2 linked regions of the Coturnix japonica genome follow. Each later gene encodes a partner of the first gene's protein in a complex. Links are inferred from orthologs where the notes say so. Each region holds a gene or a part of one and is shown in the gene's direction. Other genes may lie near its edges.

Evidence for each region.
Region 2: the proteins of CASK (region 1) and NRXN1 are in contact, whole or in part, in a crystal structure (PDB 6NID), measured with the Homo sapiens proteins. The link is inferred for Coturnix japonica from reciprocal best matches to the Homo sapiens genes CASK and NRXN1. Residues at the interface, in NP_001354650.1 of Homo sapiens: Pro500, Met501, Gly502, Ile503, Thr504, Leu505, Lys506, Ala516, Arg517, Val549, Gln553, Leu556; in NP_001317021.1 of Homo sapiens: Lys468, Glu469, Tyr470, Tyr471, Val472.

The regions. Positions count from the first base shown.
Region 1 is NC_029516.1:100,754,559-100,758,550, forward strand, and holds the start of CASK (peripheral plasma membrane protein CASK), read left to right. Parts: upstream 1-1,192; 5' UTR 1,193-1,726; coding exon 1,727-1,785; intron 1,786-1,912; exon of another isoform or gene 1,913-2,061; intron 2,062-3,992. UniProt on the Homo sapiens protein: Multidomain scaffolding Mg(2+)-independent protein kinase that catalyzes the phosphotransfer from ATP to proteins such as NRXN1, and plays a role in synaptic transmembrane protein anchoring and ion channel trafficking.
Region 2 is NC_029518.1:8,514,728-8,518,227, forward strand, and holds part of NRXN1 (neurexin-1), read left to right. Parts: intron 1-470; coding exon 471-593; intron 594-3,500.

The DNA.
Region 1 (3,992 bases):
AAATGAGTTTTAAGAAGCTGCATGTGTGCGAAACTAGTACAGCAGAAATGAGGGCTGCTCCGAAAGTAATGCCTCCTACTTGATTATGTTGGCCCAAAACATCAGAAGCAGATGTTGGTGGTATGGCAGAAGATGTCAAACCTTCCCACTGAAATTCTGCTCCGTTTTGTAGCCATATGACAGATGGCAGCAGAGGGGCACTGTGACACAGTGGCATCTGATGTGGAAGCGCATACAAAGGTGTGTCACTGAATTCTTCCAGGCTGAAAAAAAATGGCACCCACTGACATTCATTGATGCTGAATGTTGATGGAGACCAAGCAGTGGATGTGAGCACAGTGGGGCGGTGGGTGGTGCCTTTCAGCAGTGGTGACAGTGGCAGTGGGTCACCTCTGCTGGTGTGGATTGTTAGGAGCATGACATGCAGGCTCATGTTCATGGCTGTAGAAAATGCATAGCTAGTGGTGCTGAGCATTGAAAAAACAGTGTTTCATAGCTGAGAATTTACTCTAGTAACAAGTAGTGCCATTGTGCTCCTTCTATCTGTAGTGGTTTCCATGCAGACAAATAGGAGACACGACCTTTGCAGAAACCTACACGCTTTGGAAACTGCAACAGCTCCCAACTAATTCAGGCACAGAATCACAGAATCGTAGGGGTTGGAAGGAACCTCTAGAGATCATCGAGTCCAACCCCGCTGCCAAAGCAGGCTCCCTACACCTGAACACAACGCTCTTCTGCAAGGCTTCTAACTCAGAGCTCAGGAAAACAGAATCACAGAATGACCCGGGTTGGAAGGGACCTCATGTAGTTCCAACCCCCAAACAGCCCCAAACGCCAACAGCCCCTCAAAGCTAGGACAAAATCCGCTCTACCCGTCCCCGGACAAAGGCGCAGAGCTCGGGCAGAGGAGCTGTTAGGGCAGGCAGGGCTGCAGGGTGCAGCCGACTGAGGAGCACCCCTCCCCACACCTACAGCCGGCTCAACCCTCCCCACCGCGCTCACTGACAGCCGCCCCGCGGAGCCCCCTCCCGGCGCCATGACGTCATGGCAGTGCGCGCCTGCGCACGCCGCGCCGACCGACCCCTGTGCGTGCCTTTGCGTGACGGCGGCGGGGAGCGCGCGCGCGCCCCCGCCCTCTCTCCGTCCCTCCGTCCCTCCTTCCCTCCCTCCCTCCCCGCGCTGCCAGCGCCTATCGCGGCCGCCGCCGCCTCTTCTCCTCGCGGCTGGGAGCGGAACCGACGGCCGCCTCCCCGCCCCTCCCCCTCCTACTATTATCCTCCCGCACGGTGCGCGCTCCCGTAGCCACCCTCCCCCCCCCTCCATCTCCTCCCCGGTGCCTCGGGAGCGCGCCCGCTCGGCGAGGGAGGGATCGAGCCGGCGCTGCCGCCCGCCACCGCCGCCTATCCCCTCCATGGAGCTCGCGCCGCCCCGCTGAGCCACAGCCGCCCGCCCGCCGCTGCCGCCGGGGAGTAACCGGGGGAGGGAGGAGGGTGGGGGGAGGAAGAGGAGGAAGGTGGGGTCGCGGGGTGCGTGACACGCGCGGCGGCCCGAGGAGCTGAGAGCCCCTGCGGCCGAAGGTTGCGGCTGTTGGCGCTGAGCGGCGGGGGAGCGCGCCGCGCGGCGGGGAGCGTGTGCCCGCGGCCCCCCCCGCTTCCTTCTCCTCCTCCTCCTCCTCCTCCTCCTCCTCCCCCCGCACCCGGGGCCGCCGCCTGACGGGCGGACCATGGCCGACGACGACGTGCTGTTCGAGGACGTGTACGAGCTGTGCGAGGTGATCGGCAAGTGAGTCCCGCGGGGAGGGGGAGGGGGGGGAGAAAGAAAGAAAAAGGAGAGGGGATGGGGGAGAGCGGAGCCCCCCCCCCCCACACACACACACACCCAGCGCGGGGATGGCGTGCCCGGCACCCACCTGAGTCGCGGTGCGGGCAGCCCCGGCGCTGCCCACCGCCCTGAGGTTGGGGGGAAGGGGGGTGGGGGGAAAGGAAGGCGCCCCGGTGCTTCCTCAGCCACCATGATCCCCGCCCGGCCGGCCGCCGCGCAGCCTGGCGCTGCCCAGCCCTCCCGTTCTCCTCCCCATCCCCGGCACACCCATCGGTGGTTGCCTGCTTGAAGAAGGATCGCTGTGGATCCACCTATCGCTCGGGTGGCCGCGCCAGGTGTCGGCTCTCCCCGCGCCTTGGCGCACAATGAGCGGCGTGCTGCCGGCGGTGCCCCTGGCACCCCGTGCTCGCGCGGATCTGCCTTCGCTCCGCTCCCCGGCGGCGTGTGAGGCAGGGGGAGAACTTGGCCTCTCCTGTCTCCTTATGCAACTGTTAATGCGTGTTCGTGTCAAACCTCGGAGGTCGCCGGCGTTTTCTGGCTGCCCGTTTTGGGCCACGCTCCTGTGGGCTGCGTGGAGATGACAGCTCCGTGCGTTACCACACCAAGAAAACGCAGAGCATCCCCCAAATCAGATGGCACCGAACGGGAGCCCAACTCTCTGTATTTTCGTGACCAGCCAGTTTCTAAATCCTATTTTTGTTTTATTTCGTTGCGTTCCACACGCCTCCTATAGTTGTGCTTGGGTTGAGTGAAAGATGTAGCGGTGTTGCTGCTTCTAATTGTCTGCGTGTCTGACTGAGCAGCTGAGATTGCTGTGGGAGCCGCTGCTCTGGGTGCCTGCAGCTCTTTCTTCCTGAGGATGAATTCAATCAGAGCGGCATTCCCCGTGTTTTGATTATAAACAAAGAGTTCTTCTGCATGTATTCTCCCTCCCGCTCCCCTCCAGCGTGCTTCACAGTTTCTATCTGCTGCTGCCTGCTTTGAGAGCTCAGGCTAAAAATATTCTGGAATTAATCTTTCCTGAGGATTATACTAAAATGCTCGTCTTGGACTTAGCAGGTTACTTTGTTGGCAGCTGAAGTTTCAGCACTCTGCTCTGTCGTTTCACACGGTTATTACCACCTTGCCCTGGCCACAAACAACTTTTAAAAATAGGAAGCTTAGAGGGCCTTGCTTGCTGTCATAAGCTGAAAGGGCTTTCGCCAGTTGTTCGTGGGGAGCTTATGTAGCCGAGAAACAAAACAGTGATTATATGTGGTTTGAAGATGGTTTTTGGCATGCTCCTTTCATGAGTGGTTTTAAGCTGACCACTGCAGTTCACGCACTGCTTCCTCAGAGCTGGCTGCCATTGGAAGGAAAGTGAAGTGCTTCTGCTTGACAGGACTATGTGAGCTTATAGAGAATGGCTCATTCGCAGCCATCCAGATGTTGATGCGGCTCCACTGACTTTCGATGTTGTGATCTGAGAATATCAAAGGGATTCAAGGTTCAGAACCTGTGAATTGTGAAGCTTCTTTGGCTGATACCTGAGATTGAATTATTCTGGATGTGTTGTGATGTAACCTGATCTAACAGATAAGTGTTGGATTGTAGGAGCACGGCGCTGCCAAGAGCACTGTAACAGAACAGGGTGGATTACTGAAGCTAGCAGTGGTGGTAGGAAGGGGTTTGCGTATGGATGTTGTGTCCCTCCTCTAATAGGCACAGTTGTATTTGTACAGTTGTATGAGCAGTGTTCCTGTTTCATTGCAGTGCTACTCAGGTGACTTCTGAGCAATCGGGGATGCAGCGTCTTTAATTAGCTTTCACATTTTTGATAGCACCCCGCTCTTCTTTAGGCAACATGGGGAAAGCCTCATGTAAAATCTGCCTTGAGTTGCTACGTATGCATCTGGCTAAACATCTATCAGTGAAACACCAACTAAACGTCTGCACCTTCCCGTGATTTATTATTGATTGATTGAGTAATCTGCTTCTTGCAAATAGCACATCCGGCCCCTGACTTGTGTTTAGGTCCATGAAATATTAAAGCGTGTGATTTATCCTTCCTAAATGGGTAGTTATCGCTGTCATTTAAAGTAGTAAATGGTATTTCCAGAAAGGGTGTGGGAAAGAGATTTTGGACCGTAAAACAACTGAATATTTTGCCTGACTTTGTAAGAGAAATC
Region 2 (3,500 bases), on another chromosome or scaffold:
ACATCCAATGAATAAGTGTAGGCTGAGGAGCCAGTGTAGATGAAGAAAATCTTGACACATGCACATTAGCTGCTTACACCTTTTCCCCAAGCTACTTTTAATGAAGGAATAGAAATGCAGTGTTTTAAACCTATGCTTAAATTTTCATTCTGTCTGCAGTAATCCTCTTTCTTAAAGGGTTGCTCATGACTGTAAAATGCTTAACTAAACCCATGTTGACTGTGCCTATTTATGACAACCTGATCATTGTGTGTGTGTAATACATTTATATAGTTAAATTGAGAGTAGAAATGTTTTAACATAGTAGCTCTATATTTTGAGAATTGCTTATACTTGTTAATTTTCTTGCTTAATACGACTTTTGGTGAGTTTTAACATTTGCCCAGCCAGTCTCTCTTTCTCTCTCTCTGTGAGGTTCACGTGTAAAATGATTTAGAGATTGCATAATGACTGTTTGGCATATCCTACAGGCAAAGGTCCAGAAACCCTTTTTGCTGGCTATAACCTCAATGATAATGAGTGGCACACAGTGCGTGTGGTTCGGCGAGGAAAAAGTTTAAAGTTAATGGTGGATGACCAGCAGGCCATGACAGGTAGTATGACCTTGTGACTTCGTGTTATCTGGGTGGGGAGGGGAGCACAAAGCAAAAATGACAGAAGTAAAATGCCTTCACCTGAAAGTAACAAGATGCTTGTTTTCTTTTCTTTAGCAAGTTCTACATTGTGCCTCTTGAAATGCTATTATTACAAGTGCATTTTTGCACTTAACTTTAATGTTACTCTAGCACTGCTGTTAAAATTAATGAAAACCATCATGCTGACATAAACAGGTAGTTTTGTACAGAGATTGGAGAAAAATCATTTGATACATCACTAATGAGAAGGCAAGTAAATGCTGCCAAAATACTAAGTTTAAATTAAGGGTAAACACAAAGCCATTGATGTAGCAGGGAATTTCAGAAATAGTTGAAATATATTTTGTCATGTTTTTAAGACTTGCATCAGCTGTCTAAATGACTAAGTGCTAGGCAACATGTTTTTCTCTAACACTAGAATGGCAGTTAGATGTGAGAGAAAGAAAGTCATGAATGCTAGAAGATATTAGCAATACTTTTTAATTTTGTCTCAGAAATTATAATAGAAAAGGTTGTTTCTGATTTTATTATGTTGTAAACTATTACATATGTGTTATTAATAGCATCAGATCTGGCTTCTAGCCCTGATTCCTTGTACAATGAGCCTAATTTTGCTTATTTATTTAGTATTTTCCTTTATTTTCACTAAAATAGATTGTCAGTTTTTGGCTTGTTAAAATGGTAAAAATGTTAATGGTTTTTAAAAGGAGAGCACCTCCTATACTCCTTTTTTACCCCAAAAGTGCACTCAAGACCATATCACTGGTAGAATAATTGTAGATGTGTCCACGTAGCTGCAAAGATACATTTTCTAGTATCAGATATTACTAATAGATCTTCCAAAGGTGAAGCAAAATTTTATTCCATGTATGTGGTGATCCTTTGTATCATTTTCCCAAGAAAGTAAATGGTCTAAATGAGTTATTTCAGTTTTACATTTTCTTTATCTGAATATAAATATATACTACTGAAGGAACTACATAAAGCATCATATTGCTGCTTCAACTGGTGACTCAGATAATAAAGTTACTTTGGGAACACTTTCTAGTTAGAGGAAGCTGTTTAGAATTCAGTAAAATACAGTGTCTAAAAGTAAATGTGAATTTCATTTGCTCCTTATAGTAAATGTAATGCAGATTTAAAAAAAAAAAAAAATAAATCACTGAGAAGTGCTCTTTTTGCTTTTGTAATCAGTCCCAACTGCTTAGTACAGCTTTAGAAATGCAAAATATATGTGAGGGATTATGATAAATATGGGAGGTTTCTATTAGATAAAGTATAGTCAGTGAAGCAATAAGCAAAGAATGCAGGACTGTATGCTTCTGTTTGTTTGTTTGTTTTTAATAATTCTTCATTGTGGATAAATGTAGTTAAAATTAAATGTCTATACAAATTAATGCCAGTGAGTATTTTCACTCCAGCTGCCTCTTAATCAAGAAAAAGTTTTGCCTGAATATCCAAATTCTGGTACAACACGCACATCTTTTCCATATGCCAGTGCATGTATCAGAAACTGTCCTGTTGACTCAGTATCATTTACAGTTCTTGCCTACACGTGCATAATCCACAAATGTTTAATTCTCTTCACCCAAAGGGAGAAAGTTGTCCCAGTGCTTTGGATGGACAAAATCTTCCCCAAATCTCTGCGGGATGCCATACGGCCAGTCTGTGTCCTCCTTTATCTGTAAGGAGGGGATTGGTATGAGAGAAGGGGCTAATGGGAACTCATGAGTCCAGTAACATGGGAAATTTTCTGTTAGTACTGATAGCATTACATTTTCTTCATGGCAAACTCTTGTTGCCATGCAACTACAGCTGTCTTTTCATTTATTTATTTATTTATTTTTTACACACAGTATTTTGCCAAACCTTTCACCAGCTCGGGATTTTACTCCCATCTAGTAGATCTTCAAATGCATACAACACAACTTAACATGTAAGAGCTTTGAATTCCCTAATGGGTTAGCGGAAACATTGCCATATCACATTGGATTGCTCTTACATTAAGGTACTTTGAATTTTAATTCAGATGTCCCAACAATCAGAAAGATGTTTAAAATATACCTTAGTAGTTGTTAATATAAATATACAGTGAACATAAGAAAAAAACAGTTCCTGCCCAAAACTCCATCTCTTTTCTCATTTAAGAAACCTTGTTGGATTCCGAGAGCTTAAGATTGAAGAGGAACCATTAAATAATTCAGTTTCACTTTCCATTTTTCATAGGTTTTGAAGTTTTTCCTATTTGTCCGTGTTTTGTACGTTCTTACGTATCAATGATGACAAATGCATAATTTATGCATGCCTAAGCAGTCTTTCATATCTAGCTTTCAATATAAGTCATGCAGATGGTTTTGATAATTTTACTCAGCAGAGTTTGAATGTTTGCAGCACTGATGCACTTAATTTTTTTCCGTCTGAAAATGAATGAGATATGAAAGAGCTCATTACAGTTGGATATTGGGAAAGTTACCTGGCTTAGGATTATGAAAAGGAATTCACTACGCCTGTTCTGTAGCATTACAACAGCTAGTGCATTATATGCACCAACCTGACATAAGAACAACACAGAAGGACAACTTCTAAGCACAAAGTCTCAAGCAATTTTCTACAACTAAGGAGATTTGGGATGTGAGCCCAGATTTCTGGGACTTTTTTTTATTACTGTGCTGAATGTAGAGAGGATACTGTGTTACAGGCCAAAGCTTAGTGGATTTTTGCCATGACATTTATGCAGTGCCATCTGAAGTGATATAAGACTGGAATACATAATGTTCCTCCTCTAAAACTTGTTCTTCAGCTCTCTCTGGCTGTGATCCAGTGTACAGCTATTGGCCTTGTACAAGGTTATACATCTGGCATTCT